2 linked regions of the Callithrix jacchus genome follow. The protein of the gene in region 2 interacts with the protein of the main gene of each other region in a pairwise test. Links are inferred from orthologs where the notes say so. Each region holds a gene or a part of one and is shown on either strand. Other genes may lie near its edges.

The links. The genes of interacting proteins can lie anywhere in the genome.
Region 1: the proteins of TAF9 (region 2) and KPNA6 interact in binary tests that used the Homo sapiens proteins (3 or more experiments, as listed by UniProt). The link is inferred for Callithrix jacchus from reciprocal best matches to the Homo sapiens genes TAF9 and KPNA6.

Annotation. Positions count from the first base shown.
Region 1 is NC_133508.1:68,746,325-68,752,077, forward strand, and holds the start of KPNA6 (importin subunit alpha-7), read left to right. Parts: upstream 1-2,318; 5' UTR 2,319-2,321; coding exon 2,322-2,415; intron 2,416-5,753. UniProt on the Homo sapiens protein: Functions in nuclear protein import as an adapter protein for nuclear receptor KPNB1. Binds specifically and directly to substrates containing either a simple or bipartite NLS motif.
Region 2 is NC_133503.1:140,123,140-140,128,898, reverse strand, and holds the start of TAF9 (transcription initiation factor TFIID subunit 9), read right to left. Parts: upstream 3,675-5,759; 5' UTR 3,605-3,674; exon of another isoform or gene 3,438-3,604; coding exon of another isoform or gene 3,188-3,437; intron 1,523-3,187; exon of another isoform or gene 1,448-1,522; intron 930-1,447; coding exon of another isoform or gene 837-929; intron 91-836; 5' UTR 74-90; coding exon 1-73. Other genes in the region: AK6 (adenylate kinase isoenzyme 6), read right to left, coding at 837-929, 3,188-3,437; cell cycle checkpoint protein RAD17, read left to right, coding at 4,793-4,802, 5,089-5,192. UniProt on the Homo sapiens protein: The TFIID basal transcription factor complex plays a major role in the initiation of RNA polymerase II (Pol II)-dependent transcription.

The DNA.
Region 1 (5,753 bases), on a different chromosome or scaffold from region 2:
GCAATTCTCCTACCTCAGCCTCCTGAGAAGCTGGGATTACAGGCGTGCGCCACCATGCCCAGCTAATTTTTGTATTTTTAGTACAGATGGGGTTTCACCATGTTGACCAGGATGGTCTCGATCTCTTGACCTCGTGATCCACCCGCCTCAGCCTCCCAAAGTGCTGGGATTATAGGCGTGAGCCACCGTGCCCGGACAATTTTTTTAATTAAGTGAATCTTTTTTTTTTTTTGAAACAGTCTCCCACTGTTGCCCAGGCTGGAGTGCAATGGCGCAATCTTTGCTCACTGCACCCTCCACCTCCTAGGTTCAAGCAATTCTGCTGCCTTAGCCTCCCGAGTGACTGGGATTTACAGGCACCGTCATGCCTGGCTAATTTTTGTAGAGACAAGTTGACTAGGCTGGTCTTGAACTCCTGCCCTCAGGTGATCCACCTACCTCAGCCTCCCAGAGTGCTGGGATTATAGGCATGAGCCACCTCGCCTGGCCTATTAAGTGAATCTTAATCTTTTTTTTTTTTTTTTTGAGAAAGTCTCGCTCTGTCTCCAGGTGCCAGGCTGGAGTACAGTGGCACGATCTCAGCTCACTGCACCCTCCACCTCCCAAGTTGCTGGGACTACAGGTGCGCGCCATCACGCTCAGGTGATTTTTGTATTTTTTAGTAGAGATGAAGTTTCACCATGTTGGCCAGGATGGTCTCAATCTCTTGACCTTGTGATCCATCCGCCTCGGCCTCCCAAAGTGCTGGGATTACAGGCGTGAGCCACCTTGCCTGGCCAGTCTTTATCTTTCTTAGTACAGGCGTATCCTTGTGTCTCTTGAAAGCAGTTTACTTTGATTATTGCTTTTGCCCGGGTCTAAAGACAAGGCTTTAGTTAACTTGAATTTGGTATTAGATACTAGCAGGAGTCAATGCCTTCTTTAGATAATTACAGCCTATATTAGTTTGCTAGGGCCACTATAACAAAGAACCACAGATTGGGTGGTTTAAACAACAGAAAAGTATTTTCTCACAGTTGTAGTGGCTAGAAGTCTGAGATCAAGTTGTCAGAAGGGACCAGGCACAGTGGCTCATAGCTGTAATCCCAGCACTTTGGGAGGCCAGGGCAAGCCTATCATGATGTCAGAAGATCGAGACTATCCTGACCAACATGGTGAAACCCCATCTCTACTAAAAATGCAAAAATTAGCTGGGCATGGTGGCGGGCGCCTATAATCCCAGCTACTTGGGAGGATGAGGCAGGAGACTAGCTTGAACCCAGGAGGCAGAGGTTGTAGTGAGCCAAGGTCACACCACTGCACTCCAGCCTGGTGACAGAGCAAGACTCTGTCTCAAAAAAAAAAAAAGTTTACAGAAGAGTTGGTTTCTTAGACCTTTGTTATTTATTGGCTTCTAGATAGCTGTCTTCATGTTCACATGGTGTTCTCCCTCTCTTGTTTTAAGGATACCAGTTATGGATTAGGGCCTACCCCAGTAACTTTATTTACCTTAATTACCTCTTTAGGGACTCTATTTCCAAATTCAGTCACATTTTGAGGTATCAGGGTTTAGGACTTCATCGTATGAATTTGGAGCAGACGATGATTCAGGCATTTTAGGGCCCATACCTATTTTGTATTATCATTGCTAGTTTTTTTGGTTTTGAAAGCTTAGAAAGTGCATGGCAACATTAGACATTTATTCCCTAGAAATGGAAGGTGTAACTTCAGAGACCTATTCACTTTGAGAGAGTTCCTTGTCTAAGAAAACCCACAGAAAACTGGATGCAGTGGCTCATGCCTGTAATCCCAACATTTTGGGAGGCTGAGGTGGGTGGATCACCTGAGGTTGGGAGTTCGAGACCAGCCTGACCAACATGGTGAAATCCTGACTCTACTAAAAATACAAAAATTAGCTGGGCATATTGTCAGGCGTCTGTAATCCCAGCTACTTGGGAGGCTGAGGCGGAGAATCACTTGAACCCAGGAGGCGAAGGTTGTGGTGAGCCGAGATCATGCCACTGCACTCCAGCCTGGGCAACACAGTGAGACTCTCAAAAAGAGAGAGAGAGAGAGACAGAGACAGAACCCAAAGACAGTCTAGGACAGTCAGATGCTAGAAAAGATTTATTCGTATTGTAGATCTTAAAAAATTCATCGACAGCAAGTAAGGGAGTACATAATGGAAAAAGCCACTGGCCTGCTGTTTCCCTGAGATTCCAGATGTGCTTTTGCAGATGTTCCTCCTTCCAATCTAACCTCCCTTGTCTGCTTCCCCAGTGAGGTCATAAGCAAATATTTGTGTTAGTTTCTTGTCACCATGGTGACTAAAGAAGCTCAGCATGGTGCTCCTTCCAGCTTCACTGTCAGCTGTGCTTGAAGGAGAGGCTAGCGTCCAGGACAGCCTAGGCTCAGTCATGAAAAGCCACGTGTCAGGTAAATAGGGGACAGCAGTTCACAGTGCTGCCTTTAGAAATCTGTCCTCTACCATGTTAGTCTCACAGGGATAATCAGGCCTCAAAGGGAGTGCAGTGGCACAGACACAGCTCACTTATAGCCTCAACCTCCTGGGCTCAAGTAATCCTCCTGCCTCAGCCTCCCAACTAGCTGGGACTGCAGGTGTGTACCACCATGCCAAGATAATTTTTGTATTTTTTGTGGAGATGGGGTTTCACCATATTGCTCAGGCTGCTCTGGAACTCCTGGGCTCAAGCAGTCTGCCCACTTTGGCCTCCCAAAATTCTGGCAATATAGGCTTGAGCCCAGGCTACAATGCCAGTTTAAAAAAAAAAAGAAAAAGATTATTCCAACCTGGCCAACATGGAAAAACCCTGTCTCTACTAAAAATAAAAAAGTTAGCTGGGCATGGTGGTGGGCACCTGTAATCCCAGCTACTCAGATTACAAGAAACTCACTCAAGAAAATCACTTGAATCCAGGAGGCGGAGGGTACAGTGAGCTGAGGTCGCACCACTGCACTCTAGTCTAGGTGACAGAGCAAGACTCTGTCTCAAAAAAAAAAAAAAACTTCGTGGTAAAATGTATGTAACAAAATTTTTCATTTGAGTGTACAATTCAGTGGCATTAATTACAATTACACTGTTATGTGACCATCATCACCAATATCTATTTCCAAACATTTTACTGCCTCTAACAGAAATTTTTTTTTTTTTTTTTTTTGAGACGGAGTTTCGCTCTTGTTACCCAGGCTGGAGTGCAATGGCACGATCTCAGCTCACCACAACCTCTGCCTCCTGGGTTCAGGCAATTCTCCTGCCTTAGCCTCCTGAGTAGCTGGGATTACAGGCACGCGCCACCATGCCCAGCTAATTTTTTGTAATTTTAGTAGAGACGGGGTTTCACCATGTTGATCAGGATGGTCTCTATCTCTCATGATCCACCCGCCTCGGCCTCCCAAAGTGCTGGGATTACAGGCTTGAGCCACCGCGCCCGGCCCAGAAATTCTTTACCCACTAAGAAATACCTCCCTATTTTCCTTTCCTCTCAGCACCTGGTAACCTCTAAGCTACTTTCTGTCTCTGAGTTTGACTCTAGGGACATCAAGTAAGTGAAATAAGATTTGTCCTTTTGTGTTTTGCTTATTTCACTTAGCATGTTAATTTCAAGGTTTGATCATATTGTAGCATGTATTAGACCTTCATTGCTTTTTATGGCTGAATGATATTCATGGTATACATATACAGTAGTCCTTTTCTTATCCAGAGGGAATATATTTCAAGATCCCCTGTAGATAGCTGCAATGGCAGATGGTACCAAACCCTATATACTATGTTATTTCCTATACATACATACCTATGACAAGGTTTAATTTATAAATTAGGCCCAACAAGAGATTAAAAACAATAATAAGAGAACAGTTATAACAGTATGCCAGCATCATCACTCTTACACTTTGTTAAGTAAAATAAGGATTACTTGAACACAAACCCTGCAATATCTGCTACGAGCTGGCAGTGTATATAGTGTGGATACACTGTACAAAGAGATGATTCATGTCCCAGTTGGAATAGAGCGGGTTAGTGTGAGATTTCATTATGCTACTTGGAATAATATGAAATTTAAAACTTATGAATTGTTTATATCTGGAAATTTCCATTTAATATTTTCAGACCACAATTGTCTATGGGTAACTGACACTTTGCAAAGCAAAACTGTGAATAAGGGAGGAATAGTATAAGAGTACAATTGCTGGATTATATAGTAGTTACGTTTAATTTTTTTAGAAACCACTATTCTGTTTTCCACAGTGGCTGTACCATTTTCCATTCTTACCGGCAATCTACCAGGTTCTAGATTCTAGCCAATGTGTGCTTTTATTATTTTTATTCCATCCTAGTAGGTGTGGATTAGTATCTCATTGTGGTTTTTAAAACTTTTTTTTTTAAAGATGGAGTTTTGCTCTTGTTGTCCAGGCTGGGGTGCAATGGCGTGATCTCAGCTCACCTCAACCTCCGCCTCCCAGGTTCAAGTGCCTCAGCCGCCTGAGTAGCTGGGATTACAGGTGTGCACCACCATACCCGGCTAATTTTGTATTTTTAGTAGTGGGGGGGTTTCTCTATGTTGGTCAGGCTGGTCTCAAATTCCCGACCTCAGGTAATCAGTCTGACTCGGGCTCCTGAAGTGTTGGGATTATAGGCGTGAGCCACTGTGCCTGGCCTAAAACTTTTTTATTTATGTTTTTCAATCAGCTTTCTCAGGTTGAGTCATTGTAACTCTACCTCCTGAGTTCAAGTGATTCTCTTGCCTCAGTTTCCCAAGTGGCTGGGATTACAGGTGCCGGTCACCGCCACACCCAGCTAACTTTTGTATTTTAGTAGAGACGGGGTTTCACCATGTTGGCCAGACTGGTCTCAAACTCCTGACCTCAAGTGATTCACCAGCCTCGACCTCCCAAAGTGCTGGGAGTACAAGCATAAGCCACCGTGCCCAACCTTGATTTGTATTTCTCTAAGGACTAATGATGTTGAACATCTTCTCATATGCATATTGGCCATTTATATATGCTTTTAGAGAAATGTCTATTCAAATTGTTTACCCATTTTTAAATTGGGTTGTCTTTTTGTTCAATTGTAGAAATTCTTTATTCTGGATGTTAAACCGTAATCAGATACGTAATTTGGAAATATTTTCTCTCATTCTAGAACATGTCTTTTCACTTTCTTGCTGGAGTGCAGTGGTGCGCTCTTGGCTCACTGCAAGCTCTGCCTCCTGGGTTCAGGCGATTCTTCTGCCTCAGCCTTCCTAGTAGCTGGGACTACAGGTGTGTGTCACTGTGCCCAGCTAATTTTTTTGTGTTTTTAGTAGAGATGGGGTTTCACCATTTTGGCCAGGCTGGTCTCGAACTCCTGACTTTGTGATCCACCTGCCTTGGCCTTCCGAAGTGCTGGGATTACAGGTGTGAGCCACCATGCCTGGCCTTCACTTTCTTGGTAACATCTTTTGTTGTTTGTGCTTTTGGTATGATGTCTAAAATTCCGTTGCCAAATTCAAGGTCATAAAAATTTACCCTTATAGTTTCTTTTTTTTTTTTTTTTTTGAGATGGAGTTTTGCTCTTGTTACCCAGGCTGGAGTGCAACGGTGTGATCTCGGCTCCCCGCAACCTCCGCCTCCTGGGTTCAAGCAATTCTGCCTCAGCCTCCCAAGTAGCTGGGACTACAGGCAGATGCCACCACACCCAGCTAATTTTTGCATTTTTGGTAGAGACGGGGTTTCACCATGTTGACCAGGATGGTCTAAGTCTCTTGACCTCGTGA
Region 2 (5,759 bases):
CCTTCAGGATTTGTGCCATCATCTGTGCATCTTTCGGCATGCTCTTGGGAGAAGCCATCTTGCCAGACTCCATGATATCCGATGATCAGACTTTAGATCATTTGAAAAAAATATGTACATTAGATCAATCTGAAATAGTTACTTTAGTAGCAACTGTCAGGAACTTAAAAATGTTTAAATCTATTAACATAGATTTAACTGTAAAAAATTTTAAAAAAATCAAACTATGTTTTCTCAATTTTAATGAGGCATACTTTAAGTCCCTTTACTTAAATTTATGGAGTTCCTACCATGTACAAATCATCATTGACTATAAAAAGATGAAGACACAAATAAGGGAGCAATAAAAGATTAGGGGAAAACAGGGTAAAATAAATAACATCTATCATCTTACAATATATGCAGTTGCATGCAAATCTCAAACTAATCTAAGATAGCATAGTCATGTCCTATGCCTGAACTCAAAATAATCTCCTTCCAGTGAGACCAATACACTCACTGTGCTCATATACATGTTTAGCAGTACCAAACCTTTGTTTGCTCAACTTAAAAACATTCTCCTTATTCACATTCTACCTATCCTAAATCCAGTCTCTTCATAGGAGCCTTCCCAACAATTCACAAGAATTGCTAGCCATTTTGAAGACAGAAGGGAAAATGGTCAAAATAACCAGGACATAGCATTAGACACTTAATATTTCTGTGGATTACCTAAGAGTATATATTCTTTAATGGCAAGCTGTTTTTTGTACCCTCTGACAATACCTAGCACTAACACTCCGCTATCAGACTTTAAAAAATAATAATAATAAATCTAACATCAAAGTGTCCCTTACCTTCTCGAGCTAAATCACCCACATTAATGTATTTCAGTCCTGATTTTGATGCAAGTTCTTTGCCTAGTGTGGTTTTTCCAACCCCTGGTGTACCTGTAAGATAAGCCACAGAAAAATATTGTTTGTGAAATACTACTCATCACACTGTAGCCCACCTTCTGCCCTTTTTTTTTTTTTTTTTTTTTGAGACAGAGTCTCCCCTGGTCTCTGCCCTTAAGGTTCTCAATGAATGAAATGAAAAATCTTCTAATTAGCAATCATATGTAAGTTTTTTTTTTTGAGATGGAGTTTCCTTCTTGTCACCCAGGCTGGAATGCAGTGGCAAAATCTCAACTCACTGCAACCTCCACCTCCCAGATTCAAGTGATTCTCCTGCCTCAGTCTCCTGAGTGGCTGGAATTACAGGCATCTGCCACCACACCCAGCTAATAATCTTTGAATTTTTAGAGACGAGGTTTCCCCATATTGGCCAGGCTGGTCTCGAACTCCTGACCTCAGGTGATCCGCCCACCTCAGCCTCCCAAAGTGCTGGAATTACAGGCATGAGCCACCTCAATATGTCTATGATCTAATAAAAATTTTCCAAAGCTAACTGAATGTCAAAATATTACCCAGTTATTGATCCTTCAAGGGTGAGGCTCAGCAGATTCTGTCGCAGATTCAAACTGCCTGCTACTACCATGGAACTGTTCAGAATAAAATTAACCACCTCAAATCAATTACAGTCATTTATTTACTTTTTTTTTTTAAAGACAAGATATCTCTTTGTTGCTCAGGTGGAGTGCAGTGGCACTTGGCTCACTGCAGCCTTAACCTCCCGGGCTCAAGCAATCCTCCCATCTCAGCATGTCCAGTTGACGAGGCCATAGTGTGTACCACCATGCCCTGGTTAATTTTTGTAGATGGGGTTTCGCTATGTTGCCTAGGCTGAGCTCAAGCAATCTGCCCACCTCCCTCTCCCAAAGTACTGGGATTACAGGCATGAGCCACCCATCCGGCATATTTGCTTTAATTTAAATAGATTAAGAAACTGTTCATAGCCAGGTGTGGTGGCTCATGCCTGTAATCCCAGCAATTTGGGAGGCCAAGGCAGGGGGATTGCTTAAGCTCAGGAGTTCGAGACCAGCCCCGGCAACATAATGAGACTGTCCCAAAACAAAAACAAAAACTGTTCATGTTAAAATGTAAGCAGTCTTACCCCTTGCACCCTTCCCTAGAGACAACCACTGTGAACCAGTTTCCCATACATGTATATCTTCCCAGAGAAACCCTATTTATGTTGCATATGAATGTACATGTATATACATACTTTGTATATACATACATAAATACAACATATATTCCCTTTTACATAAATGACAATACTACATACTATACATTGCTTCTTACCTTCCCCTTTTGATACCTATTATAATTACACTTCAAGATCAAATTTGTAATTTTCAGCTATTCAGGTTTAACATCCCTGAAATTAAACTTGAGCATAAAGATAACAGGGATAATCCAGTTCCCACACGGAAGAGATTAACAGTTACCTCAAGTCCACTATAATTCACCAAGTCTGAACCCTGGACTCAATTATGTTTTCAATAAAATGCTCACTTTAAAGTTTTGACAATGACACAATATTAATAACCAAGGCACTATGTTTGATCCATGCAAAAAGATGTGATATCTTCCACTTAAGAAATCTTAAATGCTAAACATTATTTGTGGCCTGGTTAATCGGCACCTCTCAGAAACAGACATGTCTTGTGCGCTGCAAATCATCTTATGTTTAGATGAACGCTGTAACTTTACTGCTTTATTTCCACCGACTCTTAATTTTTCGGTACGTTCCAATAAAATCTACATGCATTAGATTTTTCCACGAATGGTCTACAATTTAATAAACACTTTAAGGACTAAAATATTCGATGAAGTCGTTACGCAGCAGCATTTTAGTTCCTTCACCGGTAACACGCACCCTGAGTATGGCTTCAAAGACCCACTCCTACGCGAGAAACGACCCGAAATGCTCACTAGATTCCTCTCCTTTAAGGGGCTGGGGAGAACCTCTGATGTAACTCAACAAAGGCATACAGTAATTTAGTCACACCACAAACATCTAAAGTCATTTCCCGAAATCTGATCTGAGGAGCAAAGGAAAAAATAAAATATGGCCCAGGGAGGCCTAAGGAGTGAGGCCTCCACCATTAATGGCTCTACTGGAGAACAGATGTGACCTTACACTATTTCGCTAAAAATCCCAAAGCCAACCCTGCCAAAGAATCAACAACCCATTTTACACACAAAATACCAGATTCAGAAAGACTAAGCAGACTGCCAAGCAGGAGAGCTGATCTGCCGACCTCTCTCCTCCTCCCCCGGAAGTCTCGGGCCACCGGAATTAACGTTCCGCATCCCCTCCCCCACCTCCTGCCAAGCCCGTGAGGGTCGGCTCCCGGGGCGCTGCAGCCGCCTCGCGGCCCTCGGGAGGCCTCCAAACAGAACACTGAGCGGGGCCCGAGGCCCAGAGCACTCCGCAAACCTCGCCTGCCCCCTCCCAGCCCCTCCCGGCCGCGCGCCCTGACCGGTGAGCAGGATGTTCGGAAGCAACATGGTCCTCGCTGCAACTGCTCCGATCACCTCGCTCAAGCGCCCTTTGCACTACGGGGAGGAGCCGGAAGGGGCGGGCGGCAGTGAGAGCCCACGGGCCCCAAGGACCTCCAGGCCCACCGCGGCGTCCCCGGCCTGCCCCGGCGGCCCAGCTGCGGCCCACTAGTTACCTAGCTTTCCCTAACACGTTTCCATCGCAAAGTTGAAGGGTGGGCATAACTCGGGTCGGTGCTTCGGGTCAGGCAGTGCGCTGGATGCCTAAGTCACACACTCCGGCGGGCCCCGCCCTTCGGTTGCGTCGCGGATGCGCCGACCATTTTGAAAGGTCCCCGGGAGGCCGTACCTCAGAGAGGCCCGGATACGGCCAGGTGGCTACCCTTTCACTCGGGGTAGATCCTGTTCGCCTCCGCTCTTCGCCGAAAAGGGAATGCAGCTCCGGGAACGTAAGGCCGCCGCGGCTGCCGCTATAATATGTATATGTCTTAGAGACGCGAGTCTATCTTTGCCTTCAAGCCTTCTTGGGCTCTCGTCGCTCCTCCTCCTGACCCGCCCGTCCCATCTGGGGATGAGAAGATTGAGGGTGCAGAGCCCAGTCCTGCAGCGGGGATTTGCGAGCTCAACCCGGCACCCTACTGATTACAGGATTACGTTGGACGAATATTTGACCTTAGTATTCCCTGTTCACTGTGTGGGGTGGTGGTGGGTCGGCTAGGAATAGTCTTGAAGGTCTACCTCTGACATCTCATTTCAGGAATCTGGCATCTTCAGGGACAGTTACCTGCTTTTAAAAGGAGGTAATTGTCAATCTTGTTTTCAAAGAGTGAATAGAGTCCTGACGGTGACAACAGTCTGCATCTTTTATTTCGAGCTACAAACTATATTTACTCAAATGTTTTGTTTGTTTTTTTACCAACTGTGTACCATTTGAAACGTCAAAGTCTAACCGTGAACGATTTGGGACGAAAGGCCAGCAATTTGTTTTCTAGTACGTAGGGGTGTTTATAGGCGATGTGTGCTCCAAACTGTAAAATAGTTCAGTATACTTTCCAGTGTATAAATTTGTAGGCATTAAAATTCTCTTCTGGCTAACTTAAAATTGTTGAATTCACTAGTTTGCATAAAGGTTTAAGAATTTGAAAACACAATTGAAAAACAGTGTTACTAAGAAATTTTCTAATAACATGATCAAATGAAAACAGTTTTACAGTAAGATTTAAATTCTTTGTCCACAGCAAGTGAATTCATTGTATTTTATTTTTTGGGAAATGTTGGAAATGAAGAACTGCAACTGTAATTTGAAATAAGGAAAACTTTAATTTTCAGTATATAAACTACTCAAATAGAATTGCCTGATTTTAATGACAAAAGGTAAGTAGAACAGTTTGTGAATTTTTTTTTTCTGTTTTTCTCAAATACGTCATTGAGTTCATGTGAAAAACTCCGTTTGTAACACCACAAGTAGTTTATTTATCCAGTTATAGTCATTAAAAGTAAAATTATTTTAGAATTTTGATTTCCTGTATCACTTAAATTGACTGTTTTCACTAATTATTGAGCCTTTATTGTGTTGTTGATTGTATCAGTATACATTTATAACTATAATTCTGTATTTACAGTTCTTTTTCATTTGAGGGCTTCTTTTTTTTTCCCCTAGGTGAATTAGAGTTTAATGTATTACTGGTCCTATACTACGGATGGGAACTGTTACAGTTTATAATGTCAAAAACTTTTCTTAGACCAAAGGTATCTTCCACAAAGGTATGATACACTAGAATGGCCGTGAAATAATTGCCTTAAAATAACTATAAATTTTTATATACATTCTTAATAACTTATTACTGCTATCAAAGTAATAGAGCCCAGTATCTATTGTAATTAGTGGTTTATGCAAATCTGGTAATAAGTTGTGAAACAAGTGTTCTCTAAAAGCACAACCTTAATTTTGAAAGTGTTTACAGTCCCAGTCACAAAGAAAAGACTGAAAACATTTGAATGAAAGAACATAGAAGAGAGAAATATGAGTGGTATTTGGTGTTACAGTTTAATCAAAAGCCCTGCTTCTTAGAAGTAATGTGATTCAGTGTGTCAGTTCTCAGCAAGATAGGGGTTAAGGTGGGATGGGGATCAGTTTCATGCATGCAGGGTAGCCTTTTCCCTAAGTGGAGGCTAAATTTTATTTGATGTTAAGTAAATTACTTAACTTTGCTTTTTATCTTTCTCTTTTTTTCAGTATATGGGAGTTCACAGTTACGTAAGAAATGAAACTATAAAATGTATAAATAATTTCCAAATCAGAACTGCTATCAAAAGGTTTACTATCACAAA